Callithrix jacchus: one gene and its partners. Each later gene encodes a partner of the first gene's protein in a complex. Links are inferred from orthologs where the notes say so. Each region holds a gene or a part of one and is shown in the gene's direction. Other genes may lie near its edges.

Region 1 (9,670 bases):
GGACTCCAGGTAGGCCAGTGACTGCAGGTAGGCCAGGGACTCCAGGTAACCCAGGGACTCCAGGTAGGCCAGTGACTGCAGGTAAGCCAGGGAGTGCAGGTAGTCCAGGGACTCCAGGTAGGCCAGGGACTCCAGGTAGGCCAGGGACTCCAGGTAACCCAGGGACTCCAGGTAGGCCAGGGACTCCAGGTAACCCAGGGACTCCAGGTAGGCCAGGGATTGCAGGTAGGCCAGGGACTGCAGGTAAGCCAGGACAACAGGTAAGCCAGGGACTGCACCCTCCACGCATTTCACATTGGAGCGTGGACTGACATGATGTGGAATGCGGGGGCCAATGTCGGCTTCTTCTTGACATTCTGTCTGTTTTTCTCTCTCTCCTAAATCCTGAGAGCGTGCTTAGGATTCTTAATTCCAGTAGTAGAATTCTAGTCTTATCTGCAGGGGTCTATGCTATCCAAGAGTATTCTCCCCGGGTTCTGGGCCCCAGCTCCTGCCTGGACACCATCCCGGACCCCAGACCCTGGCTGGGCCTCCTTCCAGCCATCCTCCCACCTGGCCCTCCCTGAGTGTCTGTCGGGCAGGATATGTCACATGTGGCCCTGGCCACCCACTCTCTTTCCCTCTCTAGAGTCTCAGTTGCCTGATCTATACAGTGGGTCTCTGCCTGCTGGGCTGACCTTCCCAGAATTTTCCAGAAATCCACCTCAGAGGAAAGATTTTTTTAAAAGCTTCAAGGGGACAAGGAATGTTATCTCCAAGCCCTGAGTGCCTGCCCAGCTCTGCCCAGCTCTATGTATGTCTCTGGCTTTCCACCCTCATGGCAGCACCTACAAGAGGTGACCCCTTTATCACCTTCCCCAGCAGCCCCCACCCCGGAATCTTTCACCATCCACTTCCTACCCCTCGATTCTGCTCAGACTCTCCACCACAAGAGCTGCTACAATGGCCGGTTCCAGCTTCTCTATGTGGCCTGTGGGTAAGTGGGGAGGCAGCCCAAGCCCCATTCCCTCCTCCCTCAGACCCAGGAGTCCAGGCCCCAGCCCCTCTCCCCTCATACCCTCATCTCCTCCTCCCTCAGACCCAGGAGTCCAGCCCCAGCCCCTCCTCCCTCATACCCCCATCTCCTCCTCCCTCAGACCCAGGAGTCCAGCCCCAGCCCCTCCTTCCTGGTACCCCAGAGTCCAGACCTCCTGCCCCCTTCTTCCCCAGGACCTGGACTCCAGTTTTGCAGCCCCTCCTCCCTCAGTGTCTGGGTTCCCAGAGCACCGTTCTCCCCGTGGATTTGGAGCTGAATCTCAGCCTGTCCTCTGTCCTCTCTGCAGGATGGTCCATCTTCTCAGCCCTGAGCTTGGGGCCTGTGTGGCACCGGGAGGGAACCTGATTGTGGAATTAGCCCGGTGAGCCAGTGGGGTGGAGGGCGGGGCCTGTCCTGGCTGGGGGTCCGAATCTGGGTCCCTGACATGGCGCTTCCCATCTGCAGGTACCTGGTGGACGTGCGGCGGGAGCAGCTGCAGGGCTTCAACACCCGGGTCAGGGAGCTGGCTCAGGCAGCTGGATTCTCTCCACAGGCCGGGGTCAGGCCCTCAGAGACCTTCGCCCGTTTTTGCAAGTCCCCGGAATTGGCTCTGGGTGGCACTGACCCAGCTGTGGAACCCAGAACTCTGCCCCTTGAAGTCCTGGCCCAGCCTCTTGAGGCCCGCAGCCCCGCCCCCGAGGACCTGACCGAACCTCTGCAGGGCGGGACCCCACTCTGAGCCCTGCCAGCTGCCCTCTGCATCTCCAGGTTCTCTCCAAGGTTCTGGCTCTGCCCCCAGGGGCTTTGCCCCCGTCCGACAGTGAGTCAGACTCCAAAACTGGAGTCTGACCTGACCCCTAGACGCCCCTTATCTCCAGCTTCCAAAGTCAGGTTGTAGAATTAGAAGCCGCTGATACCATTTTAAACCTGCCGCTGGAGCCCTCACGTTTATTCTCATCATTCCCACTCAGTACCCGTCACCCCCACCCCAGGGGTGTTGCTAGATTTTCAAATTCCATTTCTGGGATTCTATGGTCTATTCCTAGAATTCTAGATTGTTCTCTCAGAATTCCAAATTCTGCTTCAGAGACTCTAAGCCCAGCCCAGGATTTGACCCTGAGTCTCAGGCCCTTGACTTCTGCCCCCTTGTCCCCAGGTACCCTGTGGCTGCCTGGGGTCTAGGGTCTCTCCTCACCAGGGCCTGGTCAGCACCCAGGTGGTTTGAGTAAAGCAAGTGTGTCCACCCCTCCGTGTGTCCAACTGTCTTTGCTGTCCTATGTCTGTCTCCAGGGCTGGGGGAGAAAGGCCTAGGAGTGGTGGACAGAGGAAGTCAGAAACCAGGTGCCTGGGTTTCTGAGTGGACAAGAGATGGATTTCTCAGTGCTGCAGGCTGAGAGTGGGCCCCCAGCACAGCTGCACTCCAAATTAAACACAACATTGTTGAGTGGCCTGGACTCTTGGGTCTGAGGGAAGAGGGGTTGGGGTCCTGGACTCCTGGGTCTGAGGGAGGAGGGGTTGGGGTCCTGGACTCCTGGGTCTGAGGGAGGAGGGGTTGGGGTCTGGACTCCTGGGTCTGAGGGAGGAAGGGTTGGGGTCTGGACTCCAGGGTCTGAGGGAGGAGGGTTTGGGGGCCTGGACTTCTGGGTCTTAGGGAGGAGAGGCTGCTGGCCTCCACTCCTGGGTTTGAGGGAGGAGGGACTGGGAGCCTGAACTCCCAGGTCTGAGGGAGGAGGCGCTGGGGGCCCAGACTCTTGAGTCTGAGGGAAGAGGGGGCTGGGGGCCCAGACTCCTTGTCTGAGGGAGGGGCTGGGGTCCCCCGGAGTCCTGGGTCTGAGGGAGGGGGTGGCTGGGAGGAAGGGCATTCTCTGGGTCTGAGGGAGGAGAGGTCTAGGACTCCAGGATCCGAGGGAGAAGGTTCTGGATTCCTGTGCCCCGAGGTAGCTGGTGATCCAGCTGGAGCAGGGCCCGCCCCGCCCCTCACGCGCCCCATTATCTCGCATGGTGGGCAGGGGGGAGGAGGACGCAGTATATTTAGTCTCTGTTGTCCGCCCTTTATCTCAGTGTCCTCGGGGAGGCTGGAGCAGCCCGGAGGAGACTCACGGTCCCTGGGACCTTGAAGGTCACCCGGGCCGCCCCCTCACTGACCCTCCGAAAGTCCCTGTCCTCGCCCTGCCTCCTGCCATTCCGGGTCTGAGTCTCAGCATGGCGGATGAGTGAGTGACTTCCCAAGGCAATGAGAGTTGGGGCGACCTCCCGGGGTCCCAAGAGGGGTCCGAGCTGAGAGGCTGGACCCCTGGCTTGCAACGGGAGATAGGGTTGGGACTCTTGGGTGAAAAGAGGAAGTGGGTTCGCGAGTCAGACTCCTGGAACCCGAGGAAGGGGAAGCGGTGTCCCCCAACCTCTCGGTCAGAGGGGTCTCCCGGGTCCCTTAGGAGACAGACAGGACACAGCCCACCACTAACCCCCTCCCCGGTTTCTCTCCTTGCAGGAGCAGTGATGCGGTGAGAGCAGCGGGCTAAGGCGTGGCTGGGACCCCCAGGGCCGGGGCGGGCACTGCAGTAAGGGGTCTGGGGGGAGGCTGCCGCCCTAGGAGAGGGTGTGGTGTGGTGAGGGCTGGGTAGGGTCTTGGTGGTGATGGGGCCCGCACTCCTCCCACCCCAGGCTGGGGAACCTCGCCCCGCACCAGCCCCGGTCAGACGCCGCTCCTCCAACTACCGCGCGTACGCCACGGAGCCGCACGCCAAGGTGGGACGGGGTTTCCAGGGGGCCGAGTACAGTCGTAGAGACCCGAGACCCTGGGGGCGCGGGGAGGAGCCAGGGCAGCGAAGGGGGTGGGGCCTACGTAGAGGCGCTTCAGGGGCGGAGTTTTGCAGAGGGTCGAGCTCGGATTGGTGAGAGCCGTCTGCGGGCGGAGCTCTGTTGCCCTTAGACTTGCTTAGGGATAGATGGGCAGTGCCTAGCCAAAGGCAGAGACCCGGATTGGTGGATGGGAATGAGGGGCGTGGCCTCCCGTAGACTCAGGGCTTAAGTTGGAGGCGGGCCCAAATCTGGACCGGCTGGGGTTGCTGGGGGTGTCGTGAGGCCCCCTCCACTTTCGTCTCCGGATCCCCCTCCATGATCCTTCCTTGCTCCATCTCACCCTGGCAGAAAAAGTCTAAGATCTCCGCCTCGAGAAAACTGCAGCTGAAGGTGAGGACAGGCGGGAGAGGAAAGGAGCTTGGAGCTGCCCAGGGGGCGGAGCTTGGTAGTGGGTTTGGCTTCGGGCAAGTGGGCGGGGTTTGGACGTTCGGGCCGTGGCTTTAGCGGGGAGTCCCGCTCCGGGCAGACGGGTCTTCAGAAAGGTAGAGACCGAACTCCAGTGGCTGGAAGAGCACAGGCGGCTTCCCCAGGCCTGGTCTTTATTCTGATGCCCTGGCTGGGCTGCGCTTCCCTCACACCTCTCCGCAGACCCTGATGCTGCAGATTGCAAAGCAGGAACTGGAGCGAGAGGCGGAGGAGCGGCGCGGAGAGAAGGGGCGCGCCCTGAGCACCCGCTGCCAGCCGCTGGAGTTGGCCGGTCTGGGCTTCGCGGAGCTGCAGGTACCCGCTCCCAAGGCAGGGACTCGCCCAGCCTGGGATCCGAGGTTTCTAGTCCCCGGAATTCAGCAGTACAGTCCCTATTCCCCCTTCTGCTCGGGACCCAGGGGTCCAGTATGACTGTCCTTACCCAATTCTGTATGGTTCGTGGGACTCCTGGCCCCTAACACCCTTTGTTTGCAGGTCTGTGGAGTCCTGGCTCCAATCTGCTCCTTCAGGACCGTCTGGCCCTCCTTTCCCAGATAGGAGCCCAGGCCCCCAGCCCCTCCTCCCTCAGACCCAGGAATCCAGGTCTCCAGGCCCCCAGGCTTCCCCCAACAGCACACGCCACATTTCTCCTCCAGGACTTGTGCCGACAGCTCCACACCCGTGTGGACAAGGTGGATGAAGAGAGATATGACATAGAGGCAAAAGTTACCAAGAACATCACCGAGGTGGGACGCATGGGCAGCTTGGGTACCTTCAGGGCAGGGTGAGATGCCTGGGACTTGGTCTCAGCCTGACCCCTTGTAGCTGCTTTTGGCTGCACATCCCAGGAGACCCAGGACAACCGTGAGCCTGGCAGGGCTGGGGCAGAAGGATGAGTGTGATATAGTCAAGGAAAGCTGCTCCAGGCAGAGGGAACAGCACATTTGAGGCCACGGGTTGGGAAACAGAAAATGTGTTAGTGGACATGTTCAGGGCATCACATGTTGGTAAATTAGCTCAGGGAATTGCGGTCCTGGAAATGTGATTGGCCAGGGAATTGTGATTTGCACTTAGCTGGACCAGGTTGTGCCACTGGTTTTGAGAGGTGAGTCTGGAGTACATTGGGAGGGTGATTCAGTTCCAGGATTAGAAGCTTAGACTGGGAGAGGATGAGCCGGGCGCGGTGGCTCACACCTGAATCCCGGCACTTCGGGAGGCCGAGGAGGGCAGATCAACTGAGGTCGGGAGTTCAAGACCAGCCTGACCAACATGGAGAAACCCTGTCTCTACTAAAAATAAAAAATTTAGCCGGGCTTCGTGGTACATACCTATAATCCCAGCTATTAGGGAGGCCGAGGCAGGATAATTGCTTGAACCCAGGAGGCAGAGGTTGCTGTGAGCCAAAGTCGAGCCATTTGCACTCCAGCCTGGGCAACAGCAAAACTCCATCTCCAAAACAAACAAACAAACAAACAAACAAAAAAGGCCAGGCACGGTGGCTCACACCTGTAATCCCAGCACTTTGGGAGGCCAAGGCGGGTGGATCACCTGAGGTTGAGAGTTCAAGACCAGCGTGACCAACACGGAGAAACCCCATCTCTACTAAAAACACAAAATTAGCCAGGCTTGGTGGTTCATGCCTGTAATCCCAGCTACTCCAGAGGCTGAGACAGGAGAATCGCTTGAATCTGGGGGACGGAGGTTGCAGTGAGCTGAGATCGCGCCATTACACTCCAGCCTGGGCAACAAGAGTGAAACTCTGTCTCAAAAAAAAAAAAAAAAAAAAAAAAAAAGGTTAGACTGGGAGCTTAGGCTAGGAAGATACTGGATGAAGCTTTGGTACTGGAAGACAGGATAAGGAGAATAAAAATGGAGCGTAGGATGGAAGAGCTGGGTGAGGGGGAAATGGAGGGAGATGTCTCCACCTGTCTGTATGGCTGCCCCTAGATCGCAGATCTGACCCAGAAGATCTTTGACCTTCGCGGCAAGTTTAAGCGGCCCACCCTGCGGAGAGTGAGAATCTCTGCGGATGCCATGATGCAGGCGCTGCTGGGGACCCGGGCTAAGGAGTCCCTGGACCTGCGTGCCCACCTCAAGCAGGTGAAGAAGGAGGACACCGAGAAGGTGAGTGTAGGCTAAGGCCATGAGAGAGGATGCTGAGGGGAGGGGCGCTGCGTGCCAAAACCCTAGGGCCTGGCCTGAGGGCACACAACTAGGGGTCCTCAGAAATGCAAGAGGAAGACAGGAAGTAGAAGGGGAAGACAGGAAGTGCATTAGGGCTACAGGAAGTCCATGTAAGAGTAAAGAGGTGTGTGAAGGGCCAGGTGCGGTGGCTCGTGCCTGTCATCCTCGAGGTTAAAACAATTTTTTTTTAGTTTCCTTTTGTTTTCTGAGACGGAGTCTCATTCTGCTGTGCAGGCTGGTGTGCAGTGATGCCATCTCAGCTCACTGCAACATCCATCTCCTGGGTTCAAGTGATTCTTGTGCCTCAGCCTCCTGAGTAGCTGGGACTACAGGTGCACACCACCACAATGTTTTTTTAATTTCTACAAAATTTTTTTAAAAATTAGCCAGTTGGCCAGATGCAGTGGCTCATGCCTGTAATCCCAGCACTTTGGGAGGCTGAGAGGGGAAGATTATAAGGTCAGGAGTTCGAGACCAGGCTGGCCAACATAGTGAAACCCTGTCTCTACTAAAAATACAAAAAATTAGCTGGGCATCGTGGCAGGCACCTGTAATCTCAGCTACTTAGGAGGCCAAGGCAGGAGAATCGTTTGAACCCAGGAGGCAGAGGTAGCAGTGAGCCGAGATCATGCCATTGCACTCCAGCCGAGGCAACAGTACAAGACTCCATCTCAAAGAAAAAAAATTAGCCAGTCATGGTGGTGGTGTGTAGCTTCTCAGGAGGCTGAGGCAGGAGGATCACTTGAGCCCATGAGATTGAAGCTGCAGTGAGCTATGATTGCACAACTGCACTCCAGCCTGGGCAACACAGTGAGACCCTATCTTTAAAAAGAAGAAAAGAGGGGTGGGCACGGTGGCTCACATCTGTAATCCCAGCACTTTGGGAGGCTGAGGTGGGCAGATCACCTGAGGTCAAGAGATCAAGACCAGCCTGGCCAACGTGGTGAAACCCCATCTCTACTAAAATTATAAAATTTAGCTGGCGTGGTGGCGTGCTAGTAGTCTCAGCTTCTTGGAAGGCTGAGACAGGAGAATCGATTGAACCTGGGATGTGGAGGTTGCAGTGAGCTGAGATTGCATCACTGCACTCCAGCCTAGTGACAGAGGGAGACTCTTGTCTTAAAAAATAAAAAATAAAAAAAAGAAGAGAAGGAAGGAAGGAGGGAGGGAGACAGGAAGTGCATGAGGCAGACAGGAAATGGAGGGGAAGATAGGAAGTGCAAGGAGACAGGAAGGGGAGGGGAAAAAGAAATGCATGAGGGACACAGGAAGTAGAGGGGGAAGACAGAAGAGTATAAGGGAAGGAGTGTGCAGGAAAGCAGGAAGTGTACAAGGGAGACAGAAAGTGCATGAGACAGAACGGAAGTACAGGGAGGAGACAGGAAGTGGAGGGGGAAAGACAGGAACTGGGTTGGGAAAGACAGGAAGTGCATGAGGGAGACAGGAAGTGGAGGGGGAAAGACAGGAAGTACATGAGGGAGATAGGAAGTGCATGGGGAAATTGGCAGGGATTGTCTTGAGGGGACAGGAAGTGTTCTGGAACTAGATACTTGGACAGACATCCAGCGTAGAATGGCCCTACAGGCTGGAGGGAAGGTGGGGATTCTTGAGAGACTGCAGACCAGGAAGAGACCCTAACCTCTGACTCTTATCACCATCCTCCAGGAAATCCGGGAGGTGGGAGACTGGCGCAAAAACATTGATGCACTGAGTGGAATGGAAGGCCGCAAGAAAAAGTTTGAGGGCTGAGCCCTCCTGCCTACTGCCGCGGCCCTGAGGAGGGCCCTGAGGAATAAAGCTTCTCCCAGAGCTGAAAGTTATTTCATGTTTATTACCCAGGGCTTAGGCATGAAAGGGATGGGAAAACTGAGGGCAGGGCTCCCCCAAAGCTACACAGCAGGTCGGGGATTGGATGAGTCTCCCACATGGAGCACTCTTGGCTCTGTTATGGAAGAGAATCCCAGGGATCATGAATTTGGAAAAGAGAGCTTTGGGCTTTTTTTTTTTTTTTTTTGAGATGGAGCCTCACTCTGTTGCCCAGGCTGGAGTGTGCAATGGCACAATCTTGGCTCACTGCAACCTCTACCTCCTAGGTTCAAGCAATTCTCCTGCCTCAGCCTCCCGAGTAACTGGAACTACAGGTGCCCGCACTGTTCCCAGCTAATTTTTATGTGTGTTCAGTAGAGACGAGGTTTTACCATCTTAGTCAGGCTGGTCTTGACCCCCTAACCTTGTGATCCACCTGTTTTGGCCTCCCAAAGTGCTGGGATTACAGGCATGAGCCACCGCACTCGGCAAGAGCTTTGCTTCTTAAGAAGCGGATCACAACCTGCAGGCTAGAATCATGGCCTCGTGCCAAAAACAAAAAGCAGGTGCTTTAAGCGAGGAAAGGGCAAGGTGGGAATTTATGCTGAGTAGGGTTGGCTAAGTACATGTATTCAACTGGTTTTAGAAGGAGCTATGAATATTCATGGATGGGTGGACACATATATGTGTGACAAGCAAACATGTTTTTTTTTTTTTTTTTGAGACGGAGTCTTGCTCTGTCACCCAGCCTGGAGTGCAGTGGCACAGTCTCGGAACACTGCAACCTCTGCCTCCTGAATTCAAGCCATTCTCCTGCCTCAGCCTCCCCAGTAGCTGGGATTACAGGTGTGCACCACCATGCCTGGCTAAGTTTTGTATTCTTAGTAAAGACGGGGTTTCGCCATGTTGGCCAAGCTAGTCTCGAACTCCTGACCTCATGATCTGCCCCTGTTGGCCTCCCAAAGTGCTGGGATTACAGGCATGAGCTGCTTGGCCCGGCCGTAAACAGGCATTTTACATGCATCCCATACTCACTTTGCAGTGGAGGCTTAACATTTCAGTGCATGACACTGAATGTATTCATGTCAAAACATGAAGCAGGGACATGAAGGTACTCAGCACACAGCCTCTGTCAACAGAACGAGTCCATGGTCCATGGCCTCTTATTGGGAAAAAGTTACTGAAATCGGTCTCTTGTTCAATGGATGCTGCGGTTATGCCTTGTGGAACAGGGGTTCAGTTAGTTAGCATCTGGCATTGCATGGCTGCAATTGTAATACTGCTTATCTTGAGGGCTTGTTTAGTTGCTAGAAAGAGGGAAAGCCTTGTGGCAATTAGAACATAGTTCTTTGGGAGGGCAAGGTGGGTGGATCACGAGGTCAAGAGATCGAGACCATCCTG
Region 2 (9,953 bases), on another chromosome or scaffold:
GAAAGGACATCCTAGGATGGAGGCTGGGTCTGGGGGATGCTGGGCCTGGGGGATCCTGAGCCCCTTGGAGCCTGGCCTTAGTGCCTGGTCTCCACCCTGATGCCCTCAATCAGGAGGCACAGAAAGAGTCAGCTGCTACCAAGAGGACTCAGTGGGGAAAGAAATCTGACTCCACTCTGGATGCTGAGGTGAATGGTGGGGAGGAGCCTGGCCCTATGGGGGAGGGCCACAGTGCACTGTGGGAGACCCCATCGTCCCCCTGTGCACATGCTAATTGACCTGCAGACACACAGTCCACCGAGAACACCCCATCCCTATGCATGCAGGCTGGTCTAAGCCAACCATGAGAACAAGGTCGAGCCCTCAGCTGGCTGCGCTGCCCGCACCTCTGCAGAGCCCCTGCCCCTCCAGCCGGCAGATTGCAGGGCTCTGACCTGCAATTGTGGGTGTGGGGCATGGGCAAAGGGATGCCTTCCTGTCCAGTGGCCCCCTTCTCCTTCCATCCTGAGCACCCCCCTGCCTTGTGCTAACAGCTCTTTGCCCCACAGGTATGACAAGCTCTGCCAAGACAGACCTGCACATCTTCATCTTGAGAGGCCTCCCTCATGCCCGGCCCCTGCCTCTCACAGCAGCACCCCTGCCTCCTCTCATTGTCCCTGTTCCCTTTTTGCCTCTGGATCTGTTCGGGCAGAGCTTCTGGGTTTGGGAATATTTGCAAGACTCAGCCAGCTCCTTCCCAGCCTAGCCTCTTGGGGCTGGGACCTTCTTGCCTCACTGCAGGTGCAGCAGATGCTGGGACCCAGCCTCTGCCCAGAACACAGCACAGGTGCACATCAGCACTATGGGGCCTATGTCCTGGCCAGAGGCCTCTGCTCCTTTTTGCTCCCATCCAGGGTCAGGGCAGGGCATCCTCAAGAACTCCAGAGTCACCTGTCTTGTCGGCTCCCAGCAAGTGCCTCTGAGTGTCTGTGATGTCTCCATCACCGAGGCCTGGGCCCACCCATCTTGGTCCCTGGGACCTGTGCCCAGCCACCGAGGTTCACTCTGTTCAGATTGGGAAGGAGCTGCTGTGCATCTTCCACATGCCCTGTCTCCCTGCTTTGTTCTCCCCTCTCTTCCCTGGCCTGCTGCCCTGGCCGGGAGCTAAGTGCCTTTTTGTGTGCAACCACTTACCCTTTCTCTGAGAAACCTGCTCTCAGGAAGAATCTAATAAACTCATTCACTCTCAGGTGCAATTGACTGGTGAGACCTTAAAAGTGATTTTCTTTCTAGAGGCCTTGCTTTCTAGCGGAGATCATCTGAAGTGTGTGAGGATTATTTGGGCTGGGGTGGAGGATCGTCATTTTCCTAGTCCCCACTCTTCTCACATTAAGGTGGTGGCTTGTTGCTCCACAATCCTAGCTTGGTGACTGCGGAACTGCCACATACAGGGCCAGGCCTACCCCCTTTCCGCACAGACTCCTTCCAGCCCCCCTCCCCATGCTCCTAACATCATGGCCCCTGTGAGCTTGGAGAATGATGAACCATCAGAATATAGAACCAACCAAGCTAGGAACATCAGCATGGTGCCGTGTTAACCCCTTAAGGCTATAGTTTAAAACTTCTCAAAAGTTTTCATCATTAGAACTCCCCGTCTTGACTGACCACTTTAGTTTTGCTCAGAAGCAGCCGGGGGTGCAGCCAGGTGCAGAGCCCCTTGCCCAGTCCTCCCTTTTGCATGCCTGGGGAAGCTTCTCAGAGCACGACCCTTAACACGGCTCCTCAGGGTATCACTAGTCCAGTTCCCCAGGTGTGTGGGAGGTGAGCTCTACCCCCACTCTGTGACAATGGGTGAGGGCTCCTCCGATCTGTGTCCCAGGGGACAGGCCCTCAAAGCCCCATATGCAGAGGTCCCAGTGCCCCAGGCTGGCCCACCTCCGGCCAGTGAGTCTTCTGTGCCTGAGTGAGGGATACTGGGACCTGGGGGCCCTGCCCCGAGTGCCCCCACCCACTGCTGGGGCTGGAGCTTTGTGAATGTTCTAACTTCACAGCCGAGAGTTGAAGGACAAGGTTGGGGCAGAGCTGAGGAGCAGGTGAGTCCTGCCTGGGGCCTCGGGACGTCTAAAGATCTCTGGCTCTGCCCAGACCTCAGGTGGGACCCTGAGCCATTCCCTTCTCCCAGCCTCAAGCAGATGACCTCAGAGGACTTTCACATGCTCATTCCCTGAACTTTTTTTCTGAGACAGAATCTCACTCTGTTGCCCAGGTTGGAGTGCAGTGGCGTGGTCTCAGCTCACTGCAACCTCCGCCTACCAGGTTCAAGGGATTCTCCTGCCTCAGCCTCCTGAGTAGCTGGGATTACAGGCACATGTGACCACACCCTGATAATTTTTGTATTTTTAGTAGAGATAGGGTTTCACCATGTTGGCCAGGATGGTATCGAACTCCTAACCTTGTGATCCGCCTACCTCGGCCTCCCAAAGTGCTGGGATTACAGGCCTGAGCCACTGCGCCTGGCAGCCCTAAACTTTGTAAAGTCCTCCTGACAGGTGAACTTTCCCAGTAAGCAAAACTGTCCCCACACACAGTCAAGAGAGTCTCCTGGAAGCCTTTCCTGGCAGTGGGGCCTAACCCTGGAGTAAGAGCCTGCAAGGACACTGAGAGGCCTGTTCCTGCAGCTGCAGCCTCGGCAGGGCCTTCACACCTGCACCCCGCCCTCGGTGCCCAGTGAGGGCGGGCTGCTAGGGGAAACGCCCTGGGGCACCACAGCACTGCCTCTTCCCCTCCCCTGTGAATCCGAGAAGTGAGGGCCCTGCCCTCATTCCTGCTGGGGACACAGCCAGTTAACAAGGAGACCAGGGTGTGCCCAAGATGACCTCAGCTGGGGGTAGATGAGTGGTAGCAACTGGGTGTCTGGGTGGGGCGGAGGCCTCGAGGGGTGACATTGGGCACCCTCTGGAGACAGAACAGTGTTTCCACTCACCATTCCTGGCCCCACCCTCCTGCTCACTGGCCATAGGGGCCCTGTGACCCCACAAGTGGCCCCGTCCTGTTGTGGAGCCTCAAATTTACACGCATCATTTCAGTATAAGCTTCTTCCCATTCCACTCTGGCTCTATTTTCTCTTTACATCCCTTTGCAAGGACAGGGACATCAAACAAATGGGCTGGAAGTAACCCTGCTATGCCCAGGAGTGGTTGCTGCCTGGGGGCTGGGTTTCCTCATCTGAGTGGCTGTCTCAGCGCTCTGAATGGAGCTCCTGCTGTAGAGCAATTAGAAGCTGTACGCGTGTGGGCCATGACACCAAGGATCCGCTGGGCTTTTCCCATGGGGCTCTGTAGTGATCTAGGTGCACAGAGCCCTCTTGTAGGCATTCATGCAAATAAACTGTGGCCTGTTGGAAGGGTTATTTGACTTATGAGGAGCAGTAACCCACCTTCAAGTTAAAAAAGGGTTTGGGAAAAGTGCTGATAAATTCTGTTATTCCAGGCTAGGACCCAAGGCAAGGCTGGCCCTGCTCATGGGCTAGGATGAGGCGGAGGAATGAGGGGGCTCCCCTCACTTTCCTGTGGATAGTCCGGCTCCTTCCTCACCATCCCTTGGGAATCTGTCCCTTCATCTGCCTCTCTTTCTACAAAGTCTCCCTGCTTCCCTGTGGGCCTCCTCAGTCTCACAATGCTGGCCAGCAGGTGGTTGGCTTCAGCTTGCCCTGCCATGGGTCTGCTGGCAGCGTGGAGGCCCACGTGGCAGGGGATAAGCCTGGAGCTGGCCATTCAAGGCCAATGGACTCAGAGGCCACAGGGAGCCATGGAAGGGATGGAGTCAGCTGAGTGACGGGACAAGGGTCTGATAGCAGCATGGGTGTGGAGCAAATGGAAGTGCCCTGTGCAGAGGACCTTTTCAAGGACATTAGAGGTGGAGGCAGCATAGTAGCTCCTGAGGTAGAGGGACAGCAAAGACTTTGAGGACTGGGAAGGCAGGACACATGGTTGTGTGAAGGGAGAAGATGGCAGAGAATGGCAGAATTGCTTTCTTTGTCCATGGAGAAACAGAGGAGTGTGGGTCATGAATGGCAAGATCTGGAAGTGCCAGGGGAGTCATGGGGGAGGGGAGGGCCTGGTCCAGAGCCAGGCAGGACCTAGGCTGTGAAGCTTTAGAGAGATGGAGGGAGTGTCAGCTCAGCTGCCCACTGGCTTGCTTTCCTCCTCTCTCTTTTTCATCATCTACCGAACCCGCAATGGGCCAGCCCTGGACATACATGTGCACGTGCATGGTCAGACGCAGGCAAGCGCGCATACCCCTGGCCCTGACCTCTGCGTCTGCAGTCTAGTATGGTTGGCAGATCATGGTCCTGCACTGGTTGATTTAAAGCCTTTGGGGGATGACCTTTGGCAGTCCTCACCATCATGCTCACACAATGAGCCGGCTATTCAAGGTTCTTGACTGGAAGTTCTACCTTGTGTCTGACCTCCTGTAGCAGTTTAAGCCCATTGCCTGTGAGGAGGGTGTGCCACGTGGCTTTGGGGGTCACGGAGAAGACCCACCTTGCAGATGTCCTCACTGAGGCTGGTAGAGCCGGCAACCTGCCCAAGGCTGCTCCGCCCATTAGGAGCCAGTAGCCCAGAAGACGTCTTTACCCCCAGCATCCGTTCAAGTGGAGCAGCACACAGCTCTTGTCCTCTGCCTTCCAAGACCCTGGTGCTGAGACTTATGGAGTGTCTTGGAGGTTACCTCTGTCCCCAGCCTTGCTCCCGGCCGGCCCTCCCTGGTGTGGGTTGTCGGCTTCTGCTTTATCAGGATTCTCAGGAGGACAGCTGGTTTATGTTGCATGCCTGCTCTCTGCGTATCTGCTCTGGTTTTAAATAGCTTATCTGAGCAGCTGGAGGACCACATGGGCTTATATGGCGTGGGGTACATGTTCCTGTAGCCTTGTCCCTGGCACCTGCCAAAATAGCAGCCAACACCCCCCCACCCCCACTGCCATCCCCCTGCCCCACCCGTCCCCCGTCGCGCATTCCTCCCTCCGCAGGGCTGGCTCACCGGGCCCCAGCCCACATGCTTGCTTAAAGCCCTCTCCATCCCCTGCCTCACCCAGTCCCTGCTGAGGCTGAGCAGACACCTCCAGGATCTGTCGGCAGCTGCTGTGCTGAGGTAAGGCTTGGGCATGGCTCTGGGGAAGGGGCGAGCAGAGAAAGGATGGGGTGATGTGAGGGTCTTGTGCCCTGGCATTCTTACCCAGAGTCCGCCTTTGTCCGCAGACATCCATGGCCCCTCCTGGTGGAGGCCACACTTCAGAGGAGGGCTTGCCAGGACTGGGCTCAAGATTAGTGCAGTAGAGCAGAGGGAGAGAGAGAATCTCATGGTAGCCGTTGGAGACCAGTGTCAGAGGGCCTGCCGCTGAAGATGTAGCGTTGTGGACTCCTGGATGAGTTACTTTCCCTCCCCATTCCTCAGTTTTCTCATCTGTAGAGTGGGCTAAGTATTTGCTAGGCTTCTGCTTGCTCTAAATACAATGGGGCTCTAACCAAAAGGGACTCCCCCAGATTGCTTGTTCCAGGCCGAGGGGCACCTATACCTTCCAGGCAGGTTCTTCTGAGCCCCAGAGAGCAGAGTGAGACTGCAGCCCTGTCAGTCAGGTGAGTCCCCTGGTCATATTCTCAAGGCCAGGGACTCAGAAGCTGTCCCACTAGGAAAGACGGTGTGTAGGGCCCGCTGCAGCGCCTCTCCAGGCTGACGCAGGAATTCCACTGGATGTGCCTGACTCAGTGCCACTTGCTCCCAGACAGGACCTGGAACTGAGCTGCACTTGGGGGGCAGATGGGCAAAGGCCCTGCTGGGAGAACCTTTACTGGGGCATGAGCCCAGCTGGTTAGCATTAAAGGGTTTAACTTGGGTCCCTAAGTGTAACCCTTGTCTCATTGCACCCCAACACCGCCTCTTGGGACAGGCCTTGCTCTATGCCCAGGAGTGGTAGAGACAGACTCCCTTGGTTTTTAGTTTCTTCCGGGCAGGCTGGGGACTATCTGGGGAGGGGGTTGCCGGGCATGTAAGGAATTTCAGAGCACATTCCTGGCCTGCCGTAGCCGGGAAGCGACCTGCCCTCCCAAATTCCTCCTCTGACCCGTGTCTTACAGGGCAAATACTCTGTCTCTCTGCAAAAGGGCAATCTGAGAGGATCAGGTTGCCTGCTGCCCCTACTTTCTGCCCCCGCTTCCACTCCCCCTGCCCTCTCCCCATCCTCTTACCTTCACTTTCCTGGTGGCCTAACAACTGTTGGCTTAGGAAAATCCCAGCTGAATGCTGGGGACAGGGATTGAGGGGCGGGGCCCGTGTTCCTCAGAAACTCAGAGACTCTTTCTACAAGACCAGAACTGAAGCCTCATCTGTTTTACAGTTGGGTAACTGAAGTCAGAGACGCTAAGTGACTGAAATAAGTCCATACAGCAAAATCTAAGTTTTAAACCCAGATCGTTTTGACCAGAAGGTCGGTGTGCTTTATGCCTTCTATTGTCTTTGCTTTACTCCCCGAGAAAGGTGACTCTTGGCTGTGAACGTGTTAGGCTGGAAAGCTGCCTGTGGAAGTGGGTGGGGCTTGGGTGCGAGGACACAGGTGTCTCAGGACATTCTGTTCCCTTGCCCTGCCAGGTTCTTGACCCTCTCCCATTCTGCAGCCCCCAGTCTCCGCCACCTCTTCCCCCTGCATCAGGTCCTGGACCCTCTCCCATTCTGCAGCCCCCAGTCTCCGCCACCTCTTTCCCCTGCATCAGGTCCTGGACCCTCTCCCATTCTGCAGCCCCCAGTCTCAGCCACCTCTTTCCCCTGCATCAGGTCCTGCCTTTGAGCCACTGGCTTGGTGGTGTCCTCTGGGCTGGCTGCAAGCCCTCCTCCATCCTCCATGTCTGCGTGCTATTTTTGGGAGCTGAATGGTGCTCCCAGGAACAGGGAGAGGAGTCAAGCTACTCTGTCCTCCTCTGAGCCCCAGCACCATGCCCAGTGGCTCTGAACTGGAGGAAGGCCAGGGGAGGAGAGGAGAGAAAGCTGGGAGCTATGAGGTTCCTCCGAGAATTTTCTCCCTCCCACTGAGGGACAGGCTCCTCCTGGGGCTCAGGTAGCAGCACCTCAAGTTCTCAAGTCACCAGTTCTGGCAGCTCCCCTGGGGCTTTGGGCAACACTTGTCACCCACACCCATCCTGGGGTTAGGAAGGCTATTCTTTGGCCACACCCATCCTAAGACTCATTTGGAGACTCTCTGGGGTTTGAGTCTTTTTTTCAGCAGAATGAGGCTTGATTCCCCATTATAACACCTCGAACATTTGATTTCTCTTCTTTTCCCCCACCCACCCCACCCTGGATGTTGGGGCAAAACAGTGGCTCAGAGCTACTGTCCAGAGCTCCTTGTAAACAGGGCTCCTCCCTCACTGTCGTCATCCTGCTCCAGCAGAGGGAACAGTGGAGGGACCGCTCCGGTGCTGCCCTGCTTGTCCCTAACCTAGCAGGACTGGACATAATGGGAGCAGGGTCTGAAGACAGTTAGTCCAGGGCTGCAGTGGGTGCTGAGTCTGGAGAAGTCTCTACCCAGAGGGGCAGCTGGGGAGTGGCAGCTCCCTTGGAACCACTCAGCCTCAAAGGGGCTGCCTTGCGGCAGACATCATCCCACCTAACCAGAGCCCTGGCTCTTGCTGGATGTCCACAGATGAGTGCCTGGGGTTGTTCTCAGCCACTATGGGGAGATGTGCAGGGAGAGATGGTGAGGGAGTGAGCAGGACTCTCTGTGTGCCTCTGTCCTCATCCTGCCCCTTGGGTCTGAAACTGGTGCTGCAGCATTGGCAGATGTGAGTGGGGCAGGGGGCGGGCAGCAGAGGAGGAGCATTGGAGGGTGGTCCTGAGCATCACTGTGATTCTTCTCCCCCCTCACTTTGGCCTCATTCTCACATTGCACTGTCCATTCTCTCCCTTGAAAGCCGACATCAGGGAGGTCGTGGGGCTGGCTTATTGCACCGCAACAGGGTTGCTGTTCACGTTTCCAACAATGTGACTGGGTCCCTGGAGCAGGGCACTGTCATGGCCCAGGAGGGCTGGGTCACAGCACTTATTAGCTGAATGCCTACACTGCACACCAGCTCTGTTCCTCACACCTGCCCAAGAAGAACAGCAATTTCACAGCAACGGGAGCTGAGATGTAGGGAGGCTAAGCGACCTTGCCAAGGTCGCAGGCAAACGCATGCTAGAGCCAGCATTCAAAGCGAGATTAGTCTCACACTCAAGTGCTTGCTCTCTGCCCCCTCCCTGTGATTACACGCGCACTGCAACACCTGACATTGCCTAATGCCTTCCCCTTTTGTTAATGTCAACTGGAGCCTCACAAAGACCCTGAGTAGCCAGGATGTGGACACTTTATCTCCATGAGACAGAGGAAGGACTGAGGTCTGGAGATGTTAAAAAGACTTGCCTAAACACCCTTAGCAAGCTAATGGAAGAGGATCTGAATCCAGATTATCTGTTCCCGGTGCAGTGAGAAGATGATCTCAGGATGAGTTCCCCGGGGAACATTTTTTTAATCGGAATTTTCATTGAGATAATTAAAGACTAATACACAGTTGTCTTTAACAGCGAGTGTTTACACACTTTACCTAGTTTCTCTCAAGGGCAACGTTTGCAAAACTAGTACAATATTAAAACTGAGATTGGACATCAATACAACTGATCTATGATTTTATTCAGATTTGCCCACAATTGCACTGCACTGTGTGTGTGTGCGCACCTGTGTGTGTGTGTGAAACTCTATACAACTTTAACCTATGTGGGTTCATGTGTCCGTCGCCACAGTGGACATGCTGAAAAGATCCCCAACCACAAGGATCCCTCCTGTGCCCTTTCTTTCTTTTTATTTTTTGAGACAGGGTCTCACTCTTCTGACCAAGCTGGAGTGCAGTGGACCATGGCTCACTGCAGCCTTAACCTTCTGGGCTCAAGAGATTCTCCCACCTCCACCTCCTGAGTTGCTGGGACTATACTCATGCGCCACCACGCCCAGCTAATTTTTGTTTTTGTGGTAGAGCCGGGATTTTGCCGCATTGCCCAGGCTATTTCAAACTCCTGGGCTCAAGGGATCCTCTTGCCTCAGTCCCTTCAAGTGCTGAGATGACAGGTGTGAGCCACCACACCCGGTCCACGTGTGTTTTCACGGCCACATTCGTGCCCCTCCCAGCTGCCTCAGAACCCTTGGCAACCACGAATCTGTTCTCCGTGTTGCCATTCCAAGAATGTTATACTAATGGAATTCTACAGTATGTGACTTTCTGAGTTGGCTTTTTCTCCTCAATCAGTGGAATTCCCTGGAGATGAATTCCCTGGGGGTGCATGCCAGTTGTTGTATGCATACACAGTTTATTCCTTGTTATCGCTGAGTTGTATTCCACGGTACAGATGCTACAGTTGGTTTGACCACTCTCCCAGGTCAGAGCTAAACAGATCCTGTGGAGTGGGGGTGGGCAGTGTGGAAGGAAAGGTTGAGAAACTGCAGACATTGTCTTGAGTGTTACAAATGGGAAACAGCATCCCAGGCAGTATTGCCTGTTCAGGGGCAAGGAATGAAGTGGACATCAGCAGGTGGCCTTGCTGCCATGTGGGTGTCACTATCTCCACTTGGCAGGGAGGAAATAGGCTTTTTTTGCTGCAGGTCACACAGCTAATAAGAGGTGGAAATAGATTCACCCTCGGCCTCTCTGATCTCTGTATGACAGGGGACAGAGGTCTTCTGAGGAAGACAGGCTTCCCTTTGCACCCGCACTGACTGTGTTCTCTTTCTGGAAGGAGAGCAGAGACCATGTCTGACACGGAAGAGGTGGTGGAAGAGTACGAGGAGGAGTGAGTATCTGGAGCATCCTGGCTGAGTGGGGTCCCCCTCCCACCACCCTCACACCTGGTCCGGGAGCCGCCCAGCTGCCCTGGGATTCTGGATGGAAGTAGCTGTG
Region 3 (10,025 bases), on another chromosome or scaffold:
AAACAAAACGCCTTATGGTGGAGGAAAGTGTCTCTGTAGCCACACTCAGTCTAATTTAAGGCAAATCTGTCAACAAACGTGCTTCTGCCCACAACGCATCCCTAACCAGGGTGATGTTCCTCCATCTTCTAACCTAGGGTCTAACTCCAGCCCACCTCTCCTCATAGCTGAGGTCTCCCCTGGTTTGCTGCCTCAAGCTTGGCTGTTGTGGGTTTGCAAGCAGAGGTGAAAACCCAATGAGGAACTTACATAGAAGTGAAAATGCAAGAAGTGGGCCAGCACTCTGGGGGTCACGCCAGGGAAGGCTGCCAGGAGTTTCTGGAGGTAGACCTCCAGATCCTTTTCCCTCTTCTCCACCAAGCTTCTGGAGTTTTTCCCAATTATCTTTTTGGGCGGAAGCAGATTTTTATCAATCTTTCTCTCTGCAACGAGCTGTAAAAAAAAAAATGTAAGCAAATCAACCACAGACTAAGAGGCTCTGTGCCTATGGAGGGCCAAGGCAAGAAGCCTGAGGGCAGACGCTCCTCAGCACTTGCACAGCCCCTCTCTGCAGCAGTACCGGGATCAGTGACCAAACCAGTGCACCTGGGATCTGACGTCCTCAAATCCAATTAGCTTTAGAAATATCAATATAATTCCAGACAAGGAACTCCATCTGGAGACTTTGGAGACATTCAGAAAAGTAACACCTTTTGCCCCTAAAACTGCCATCTTTTCCAAGCCAGAGTTAAAAAACCTATCAGGGCAGTGGTGTGTCTTTCAAACACCCACACTGCTAATGACCCAGAGAAAGACAGCATCTCCAAAAGCAAAGAAAAAGATGGAATCACAGCCAGATATTAAAGTACAGGCTTTGGAATAGCTATAGCTGGTTGAACAAGTTCAAACCTGTCCCCTCCCCAGGAAACTGTCTCAGCATCTCGTATCCAAGCTAGGACTAGAAAAATTAAAACTGAAATTCAAATATGCTCCTAGCAGACTGGCTTATGCTAGAGCTGAAGGCTAACATTTATATGCTATACTAATGAACACAGTTATATTAACAAAGTAGTTTATCAAAGAAGTGAACTATAGACATGGAGCCTGTTTTGCCCTAAAACTAATGTGTGGCACAATGGAAACTTGGCCTAAAGGGCCCCTCTACCCCTGAGATACATGTATCCAGCTCTTAACAGTTACCTTTTCATGTAGGTCATGGAAGTCGCTGTAGCGGTGCTTTACTGTCCACTCATGGTTGCCATCAGTGACCTGGATGATGTAAACCTAAAAGAGGAAACCGACAGTCCTTGTGACAAGGGAGCCTGCAACAAGGAGTCTCCTCCCCCTCCTCCTGCAGCAAAAGCTGCAATTATCTTTCCCAATTATCTTTTATCAGTCTTGCTCTCTGCAACTCAGACCCAAAGTCAGGCTGCCCTGGCCCACCAGCCTCTGCACCTGACCCTTGCTGAGCAGCAGGTCCCCTCTGAGCCTCCAGGGCCCAGGTATTAGGGCTGGGAGGCACTCGGGACAAGACTGTGGCTCCATCCATCAGTAAGGAATGAAAAATGTGATTACTGCTGGCTGGGCATGGTGGCGCACACTTGTAATCCCAGCTACTCAGGAGGCTGAGGCAGGAGAATTGCCTGAACCTGGGAGGCGGAGGTTGCAGTGAGTGAAGATTGTGCCACTGCACTCCAGCTTGGGCGAAAGTGAGACTTTTTCTCAAAAAAAAAAAAAAAAAAGAAAAGAAAAAGGTGATCACCACAAGTCACCTCTTTAGTTTTTTACCTCCTGCCTTCTAGGTAACTCAGAAGCCAGCCTGAGCTGCAGGCAAGACCATTTCATCCAAGGGAGGCAGAGCAGGGCCAGTTCTAGCCTCATCTTCTCTGTTGTACTTCTTTCCAGGTGCCTTGACTACCTCCTGGAAGCAAGTCCTTTTCCAACCCTTTCAACTGGTTCATGGCTGTGATTTCTGCTACTGAGCCAGGAATCAAGGCACAAGCAGTTGACGTCGGGAGGGAGTGGTGGCAACCAAGCTCTAACAGAAGGCAAAATGGCCTAGAGGTTAAGGCAGGCCTGGGTTCAAAAGCTGGTTCTGCCATTTCCTGCAGCTTATGTGTCACTTATGTAAGTAACTTGAAGCCTAAGTTCTCTGTGAGCCTCAATTCCTCCATCTTAGAATCAAGGATCAAGCGAGGAAATGCATGTAAAATGCTTTGTACATGGGCCTGACCCATGGCAATTATTCAAAAGGTAGGTGTGTTAATAATACCCAACTCGGCACACCCGGAGACAGAGGCTGGTAGGGTCCAACCTAGATCACCACCTCCCCGACATACATGCAGAGGAGGGGCGCAGCCCAGAATAAGGAGAGCTTTTTGAAGATGGCCCTCTGGCTGAATGTGCCCATAGGTGGTGGCCAGCCAGCCATCAGCTCAGAGACCTCACCCGTCTCCGTTCCCTCGCCTCTCTGCCGCATGGAGCTGAAGCCTCCTTCAGCCCTGAGGAGCAGCCATTTCTCCAGGCTGGCCTGTTGCTCCAGGATCCACCCCTCTCCTCTTCCCATCCGGCCCGATTCCCTCCCCGTGCCCTCAGGAAAGAAGATAGCCAGTAGAATGGCCCTCAGATGGGGAGGTTAGGATGAGGGCTAGGGATGCAGGGAGGGCCAAGGCCCCGACCCACTCCCTACCCAGCAGGAACAAAGGGCAGGAGGCAGGGAAGTGCTCAATGCGTAGCCCAGGGCCATTTTTTGCCAGGCAGCCCACCAGGCTCATAGGCCTGGCATCCAACCCCATCAGAGAAGGGGACTACCCCCCATTTGTCCTCTGTGCCCCCCATAGCCTAGAAGTGTGTGGGGGCAGCTTGTTGCCCCTTCTCGCTCCCACAGCCCAAAGTCACGAAGATTCCTAAGGTTTCGGGGGTCTGCGCTTCAGCACTGGGACCATCCCCATTTCTCCATAGCCGGGCTCCACCCCTCCTCCGTTCCGGTCTCCGCCAGACCCGCAAGGCGTTAGGTCCCCAGGTCGCTCCGGCACTTCTCAGAGAAAATCTCAACCACGACCTCAGGCTCTCCAGACCAGGGTCTGGGCTCCTCCTCTCTTCAAGGCCTGCGGAGCCTGCCCCTTTTCCCTGATTCCATCCGTAAGAGACCCTCTCCCCATCGTTCTCCTCCAGGACGCCAGTAACGGTCTTCCAGGCCTGGTCCCCTCCAGTCCTAGAGGGGTTCCGTCTCATCTAGACACTCCCCTTCTCCAGGCTCCTTTTATCCCCAGATGCCGCCCCCAACCCGAGCCTCCCTTTCGGATCGCGTACCGCTTTCCAAACCGCCTCCCCGGGCCCCAACAACTCTTCTCCCGGACCTGCGGGGCCCAGCCTCCTCCTCGCAATCGCAGACCCCTCTTCCCCCTCCTCCAAGCTGCGGATGCCGGACCCCTCACCAAGCCCCCCAAGTCGGACTCCCAGTTTCAGCCATCACTCCCGCTTCGAGTGCCCGCGCCCCCAACACACCGTGTAAGTGTCCACGAGCTCGGAGCCCACGACGCGCGCTTCCTTGGCCGGCTCGGCTTCCCGCTCGGGCCCGAAGCTGCGCGCCGCCGCCATGTTCCGGGTTCCACCGCCGCCGCCGCCCGGCGCAGACAGGCCGCAGCAGGGGGCGGGGTCAACGTCCCACCGCCCCCCAGCCCCCGTTGCCCCACGCCCCCACCGCGCGCTGTGCCACCATCTTAGTCCGGCCGCCTTCCAGAGCCTTCTCCCCGCCCCTCGTGCGTGATTGACAGGCACCGCCCACGGCGCGCGTGCGCAGCGCTTTCTTGCGTAATCTCTACCTGCGTGGGGCCACCAACGGTACCCTGCGCAGCCTGCTAGAAACTGACCTCTCGGGTGGTGACCGCTCTGGGAATCGCCCCTTAGTCTCTCAGGAAGAGAGGACAGAAGGTCCCGAGCCTCCAGGCAACACGAAGCAAGTCACTGCTCCTCCTGGCCTCAGTTTACTCCTCCGGATAAAGGAGGCCATAATGGCGCCTCACTTGGCTGTTGGGCTCTTTCTCTTTAGGGCAAGACGGGCTGGAGGTGGAAATAGAACCTGTGCTTATCGCTGGAGTAGGGCGAGAGTGATTCTGGGCCGGTTCTGAACCTCTCCGAGACTCGGAGAGCTCTTGTCAGTGGGGCTTCTTGACAACGGAGTGGGTTGATTCATGCGGGGCCTGGCATGCAGTAGTGCTGGAAGCAAGGAACGTGTTTATCAAGACGGGGCTCTGTACGAAGGAGGGCGGAGACGGAGGTGGGAGGGGTGTGTGCTGCCAATGGGTACAGGAACCTCACGGGATGGCCTGTCAGAGTTCAAAACAGGAGGGAGACACGTTGACCTGGACCCACGAACTACAGTGCTAGAATAGGGAACTGAGTCCTAAACCAGGGGAAGATGAGACCTAGAAGAGGGAGGTGGTAACCTGACTGGAGGGTGAGGAGGGAGAGAGCCTGGCACAGATGGGGCATCTGTGGGGGTGCTGTTGAATTACAGAACAGCTGACTGAAGCCCGAAGGGGGCACTTCTCCCTGGGCAGATGGAAGGTCTGGGGCAGGCGCCTCTGGCAGAAGGGCTCCTGACTACCCTGCCCTAAGGTGGGTTAGCATCGTCCTCTGAGCTTGGGATTTGAGGCTTATCTTGGCAGGGCCCTGTACTCCCAACCCCCACTTGCACGTTGCACCCCATTCCAGAGAGGCTGAGTTAAAGGCAGGGGCTATCTTGGGCAAGCCACCACTCTTCCAGAGCCTCAGCTTCCTTATCTGGAAGGTAGGGGTCATAGCACCGGCCTCCCTGGTTGGTGGGAGCCTGGGCTGCTGTGTTGCAGGGGCCTTGCCTGGGGCCCACTACTTTGTGGCTCCTGTCCTGCCCTGGGCTCATGCTTTCATTCATTCCAGAAACCTTTTCAGAGTCCCTTGGGGAGTGTGGGGGACAGGAGCGAAAGAAACCTGGTTCTTGTAGCACTTCATCTGCTCCCTGCCTTGGGCAGAGGACGCAGGGACTCAGGCCAGCCTGACATCACTGGGCCCAGAGGAGGGGCTGGAGGATACTACACGCAGGGGTGGGCTGGGCTGGGCTGGCTGGGAATGCAGTGTGGGGGGGGGGGCAGGGCTATTTAAGTCGAGGGCCGGCTGGCAACCCCAGCAGGCTGTCGTGTGACCCACCAGCATGGATGACATCTACAAGGCTGCGGTGAGGGACAGGGCTGGGTAGGGCTGGGTTGGGCAGGCCCACTGGGGGCTCACTCATCTCAGAATGGGGGGCTGGTAGCCCCAAGGAAGCGGTGGGGGCCCAGGAGAGAGTCTCTGTACCTTCAACCCAGGCCCTCACAGGGACAGTGGTTCTGATGTTTGAAGATGCAGAAGGGGTAGGGGCTCAGGGTCTGAAGGGAAGCTGGTGTTTGGAGATGCAGAAGGGGTGGGAGTTGAGGTCTGAAGGGTGGTGGAGGAGGTCGCCACTTTCAGCATCATGTCTCACTCTGTTTCTAAGTGTCTGTAGTCTGTGGCACTGTCTCTCAGCCACATGTCTCTGCATTTGTCTCTGGACATTTTTGCCTTTCTTTTTTCATCTCTCTTCCTCCTAAGTTGTCTCTCTGAGTCCCTATTACTGTCTCCCTGTCCCCAACCTCCATTTCTGCCCCTCACATTCTGCTTCTCACACACTCACAATCTGCCACTCCACTCCAGCCCTTTGGTTGGTCGAAGATGCTTTGGAGGGTGGAGGGTGTGAGGGGAGGGGCCTGAGTCCTGGGCTGGAGATGGGGCTTTGAAGTTCGAGGCAGGGAAGTTTTGGACATGAGGGAGAACCAAGGAAGAAGGGACAGAGAACTGAGGCCCCAGCCCCCATCGTGCCTGGCAGGCTCAGGGCTCAGTGGCTTAGCTGGGGGTGAGAATGAGGGAATGAGGGCTAGAGAGTGGTCACCCCAAGCCCCTGCAGCCTCCTGGGTCACTGAGGGACTTGAGATGCTGTTCCATTCCTGGATGCTGGTGACCTCCCACTACCCCAGAACAAGGACATCCTGGCCTGGGTAGCTGTCCCCAGGGGAACCCCTCCCTCAGCCTCCCTCACTTCTGGGCAGGGAAGGGCTACAGCCAGCTCTGGGGGCATGCCTGCTTATCCTGTGGGAGTCCATGAAGCTGGGGTGGGGGCAGCCCTCCACCCAGTGCCCATACAAGGCCTGGCGGAGCTGGGGACTAATTTTGGCTCCTGAGGCGGCACTAGTAGGACAGGGGGCCAGATAACACTGCCCCACCCCCTGCATGCCAAAGTCCCCAGAACAATCACCAGGTTTAACTTTGTTCCTCGTTAAAAATAGCCCAGTGGCCACCCTGGTCAGGTTACAGTGGGTAGCTTGTCTACCCCCACATTGGTTTATTGTCCCAACTTGAGGGACAGCTGTTCCTTGGGCCACCCAGCTTGAGTTTCATCACGGGCCAAAAGGGTATTGAGTGGTCACTGACTATTGTTACTGAGGGTCACCTTGGCCCTGAAGGGGGTGCCCACCTGTCACACTGGCCCTGAGCCCAGTCTTAGTGAGGCTAGCTGGGGCACATCAGGGCTTTGTGGGGAGGGAGGGAGGACTGAGACCTCTGTTCTGTGGCCTGGAAATAGCTTGCTTTCCCCAGCTGCAGCTCTCACCTGTGGAATGGGTTGGTTTCAGCAGCAGCAGCTATGTGTGAGGCTGAGCCCTGAGAGTCCCTTTCCTTTCTAGGTAGAGCAGCTGACAGAAGAGCAGAAAAATGGTGAGAACCCCTATCACACGTGCGGGAGACCACCAGGGCCAGGTTGGGAGACCAGGCTGGGGAACGTGGGGACCCCTTACCAGAAGAGGAGCACAGACCAGAGACCAAAGGCTAGGTCCCTCTGCTCTGATCTCAGAGAGGTCTCTGAGGGAGGTGGGCAGGTTGGCAGGTGGCCCCAGGAGTCTGGCCCTCTGAGGTCCTGGCTGTTGAGCCCTGGCTATTGTGCCCCCCAACCTCTGTACACAGAATTCAAGGCAGCCTTCGACATCTTCGTGCTGGGCGCTGAGGATGGCTGCATCAGCACCAAGGAGCTGGGCAAGGTGATGAGGATGCTGGGCCAGAACCCCACCCCTGAGGAGCTGCAGGAGATGATCGACGAGGTGGACGAGGATGGTGAGCCCCTCCTCCCCAGGCTCTAGAGGAAGCCCAGCCAGCGTGGGGCTGGGATGCTGGCTCTGCTTAGCCGGAAGTGGTTTAGCCCCTCCGATCCTCAGTTGCTTCATCTAGAAAATGGGCATAATGGCCACAGAAGCCTGGCATTTGCATCCTCACACCAAATGCCAGGCTTCTGTGGCCACTCTTTGGGCTTGAGTCACCTGCAGTTTCCAACCTGGCCTCTGTAACTGCCTCCCAGGCAGTGGCACAGTGGACTTTGATGAGTTCCTGGTCATGATGGTTCGGTGCATGAAGGACGACAGCAAAGGGAAATCTGAGGAGGAGCTGTCTGACCTCTTCCGCATGTTTGACAAGTGAGCACGTGACCCTTGACCCCTGACCTTGACCCTCACTCAAGCCCAGCTGGGGTTAGGAGGGCAGTCTCAGATTCTAGGCCTAGGGACCCTGCAGCCTCTGCTTGATGGGGGAGAGGGATGCCCCATCTCCCAGCGTCCCTGTTCTTCCTAGGGGGCATGGTTGTGGTCCCTCTTGCCCTCCCTGCAGCCCTACCCTGGGCCCCCTCCCCACAGAAACACTGATGGCTACATTGACCTGGAGGAGCTGAAGATGATGCTGCAGGCGACAGGTGAGACCATCACGGAGGACGACATCGAGGAGCTCATGAAGGATGGAGACAAGAACAACGACGGCCGCATCGACTACGACGGTAAGCGGGTGGGTGGGCTGATCCCCTGCCACTGTGCCCTGCCAGCCCCACCCCTGACCCACACCTGCCCCTCTTTCCACAGAGTTCCTGGAGTTCATGAAGGGTGTGGAGTAGATGCCGACCTTCACCCAGAGCTGCCCATGCCCAGCCTTCAACTCCAGCCGAGTCCTGGGGCTGGGGAGCGGGTTGGGGTCCCAGGACCTGAGTCTGGTCATGTCCTCAACTCCAGATCCCTCGACTCCCTCCCCAGCCCCGTCCTGGGGGATGCAAATAAAGCCTGCTCCCTGGAGGCCTGCTGTCTGGCTCTGGTGTCCCCAGGCCATGGACTGCTCCCCAGGGCCCACTCTTACCCACTTCCTTCCCTGTCCCAGGCGTGGTGACTGCAGAGCCTGATACTGGACTGTGGCTCCACACTGCCTTCTGTGGCGGGTGACATGAGATTGGAGACTCCCATCTGGCATGCCCTCTATAACTCCTCATGCCCAGGCCCTATCTCCTGGGAGTCAGCATCTGGAGTCTGGGGGTGTCTAGAACCTACATTTTAACAAGTTCCTGGGGGTCATCACTTTGGTCAACCACGTGGCAGCCTAGGGGTCCTCTCCTTGGAGAGAGTGTTCACTGTGATACACAGCTAGGCCCTGGATGCTCCGTGGCACAGCAACCCTCTGCGGTCTTTCAGCCATGGCTGGAGTGGAGCTGAGCCTGTGGGGTCCCTGCAGGCCCACAGTGCCAGTTCACCTGCCATCTGACTTGTATTTCCTGCCAGCAGCATTGACTCCCAGGGACAGAGGGGCATGGACTCGGCTCTGCCTCCCCTCACCTGTTTGACAGGTGGCCCAGAGAGGTGCAGGGAGCTGTCAAGGTCATCCACTGAGTGTGGGAGAGAGCAGAGCCACCTGGCTTCCAGCCAAGGGCCCTGTTGGATGGGCCACGTCCAAATGGGCCTGATTTCCAGTTCCTGTGAAGCTCAGAGTCTTGCTTCCTGTGGCCCAGTCTCTCTCCCTGACAGGGACGGAGGCCCAAGGGCCTGGCAGCTCTCAGCTTAGTGGGAGCGCCCAGTCCAGAGCTGCAGCCATGCAGTGATGCTGCCTCAGGGTTGTGGGCATTGGGGGCTGCAAGGAAGTGGAGGTGTCAGCGGCAGCGCTCGCAGGAGGGACAGCTGCTAGCAGTGCGCAGGGTGCAGCCAGAATGCTGCCAGCTGTCCTTGCCCCACCCAGCCACTCCACTGTCTCTGCACCTGTGCCCCAGCTTTGGCATTCCCCAGACAGGCCTGGCATTCCAGAGATGGTCTTGGAATTCTAAAGATGCCTCTAGTGGAGGCCAGAGCTAGCAAGAGCTTTCTGGACCCTGGAGAGACCTGAGGGGAGAGGAGAAGGGTCCCTTCAGGCCTGCCCTTGTGAGCTGGAGAACTGGGGACCTCTGCAGGCACCCAGAGTGACCCAAGAAGGACGGCATCCCAGGAGAGAAGGCAGGGCCACATTGAGCAGCACCATCAGCCAGTGCGCCACTCAGTGGTTCATTCATGTACCTACCATGTGCCCAGCACAGGGCTGGGTGCTGGGGCCTGTCACAGTGAGGCCCAGTCCCTAATCTGATGAAATTTTCTTTCTTTTTCTGACATATGAGACAGAATCTCACTCTATCACCCAGACTGCAGTGCAGTGGCATGATCTCAGCTCACTGCAACCTCTGTCTCCTGGGCTCAGGTGATTCTTATGTCTCAGTCACCTGAGTAGCTGGGATTACAGGCCCCCGGCACCATAGCCGGCTAATTTTTTATTTTTAGTAGAGACAAGGTTTCACCATGTTTCTCAAGCTGGTCTTAAACTCCTGAGCTCAAGTGGTTCGCCTGCCTTGGCCTCCCAAAGTGCTGGGATTACAGGTGTGAGCCACCTCACCTGGCCTTATTAAGATGGGGTTTCACCATGTTGGCCAGGATGGTCTCGATCTCCCAACCTCATGATCCACCCACCTCGGCCTCCCAAAGTGCTGGGATTACAGGCATGAGCCACTGTGCCTGGCCAATCGGTGGAGTTTTAAGGAGATGAGTACAGTGGGAAAACCAGCACGGGCTAGAGTGGAGACTGGAGGCATGGTGGGCCCATGAGTTAGAGTGGTCTGGGAAAGCTCCCTAGAGGAGCTGACACTGTGAGATCCAGGGGAACCACAGGGAACCAGC

Evidence for each region. The genes of interacting proteins can lie anywhere in the genome.
Region 2: the proteins of TNNI3 (region 1) and TNNT2 are in contact, whole or in part, in a crystal structure (PDB 4Y99), measured with the Homo sapiens proteins. The link is inferred for Callithrix jacchus from reciprocal best matches to the Homo sapiens genes TNNI3 and TNNT2. Residues at the interface, in NP_000354.4 of Homo sapiens: Arg68, Glu71, Lys72, Ala75, Leu76, Arg79, Gln81, Pro82, Leu83, Leu85, Leu88, Gly89, Phe90, Leu93, Gln94, Leu96, Arg98, Leu100, His101, Arg103, Val104, Asp105, Val107, Asp108, Glu109, Glu110, Arg111, Tyr112, Asp113, Ile114; in NP_001263274.1 of Homo sapiens: Glu214, Lys217, Lys218, Ile221, Leu222, Arg225, Arg226, Lys227, Leu229, Ile231, Asp232, Leu234, Asn235, Glu236, Leu239, Arg240, Ala243, Lys244, Leu246, Trp247, Ile250, Tyr251, Leu253, Glu254, Ala255, Glu256, Lys257, Phe258, Asp259, Leu260.
Region 3: the proteins of TNNI3 (region 1) and TNNC1 are in contact, whole or in part, in a crystal structure (PDB 4Y99), measured with the Homo sapiens proteins. The link is inferred for Callithrix jacchus from reciprocal best matches to the Homo sapiens genes TNNI3 and TNNC1. Residues at the interface, in NP_000354.4 of Homo sapiens: Glu32, Pro33, His34, Ala35, Lys36, Lys37, Lys38, Ser39, Lys40, Ile41, Ser42, Ala43, Ser44, Arg45, Lys46, Leu47, Gln48, Leu49, Lys50, Thr51, Leu52, Leu53, Leu54, Ile56, Ala57, Lys58, Glu60, Leu61, Glu64, Arg136; in NP_003271.1 of Homo sapiens: Asp3, Ile4, Lys6, Ala7, Glu10, Gln11, Thr13, Glu15, Gln16, Glu19, Phe20, Ala22, Ala23, Ile26, Phe27, Val44, Met45, Leu48, Gln50, Glu59, Met60, Glu63, Glu66, Asp67, Gly68, Asp73, Asp75, Glu76, Phe77, Met81.

The regions. Positions count from the first base shown.
Region 1 is NC_133523.1:48,016,257-48,025,926, reverse strand, and holds TNNI3 (troponin I, cardiac muscle), read left to right. Parts: upstream 1-3,074; 5' UTR 3,075-3,217; coding exon 3,218-3,228; intron 3,229-3,503; coding exon 3,504-3,516; intron 3,517-3,676; coding exon 3,677-3,760; intron 3,761-4,162; coding exon 4,163-4,204; intron 4,205-4,462; coding exon 4,463-4,594; intron 4,595-4,935; coding exon 4,936-5,025; intron 5,026-6,226; coding exon 6,227-6,403; intron 6,404-8,128; coding exon 8,129-8,212; 3' UTR 8,213-8,279; downstream 8,280-9,670. UniProt on the Homo sapiens protein: Troponin I is the inhibitory subunit of troponin, the thin filament regulatory complex which confers calcium-sensitivity to striated muscle actomyosin ATPase activity.
Region 2 is NC_133520.1:28,386,186-28,396,138, reverse strand, and holds the start of TNNT2 (troponin T, cardiac muscle), read left to right. Parts: upstream 1-5,072; 5' UTR 5,073-5,130; intron 5,131-9,792; 5' UTR 9,793-9,805; coding exon 9,806-9,846; intron 9,847-9,953. Other genes in the region: LAD1 (ladinin-1), read left to right, coding at 114-188, 549-554. UniProt on the Homo sapiens protein: Troponin T is the tropomyosin-binding subunit of troponin, the thin filament regulatory complex which confers calcium-sensitivity to striated muscle actomyosin ATPase activity.
Region 3 is NC_133516.1:34,979,940-34,989,964, reverse strand, and holds TNNC1 (troponin C, slow skeletal and cardiac muscles), read left to right. Parts: upstream 1-5,144; 5' UTR 5,145-5,170; coding exon 5,171-5,194; intron 5,195-6,713; coding exon 6,714-6,744; intron 6,745-6,990; coding exon 6,991-7,137; intron 7,138-7,378; coding exon 7,379-7,493; intron 7,494-7,709; coding exon 7,710-7,846; intron 7,847-7,928; coding exon 7,929-7,960; 3' UTR 7,961-8,135; downstream 8,136-10,025. Other genes in the region: NISCH (nischarin), read right to left, coding at 250-432, 1,180-1,263, 3,487-3,579. UniProt on the Homo sapiens protein: Troponin is the central regulatory protein of striated muscle contraction. Tn consists of three components: Tn-I which is the inhibitor of actomyosin ATPase, Tn-T which contains the binding site for tropomyosin and Tn-C.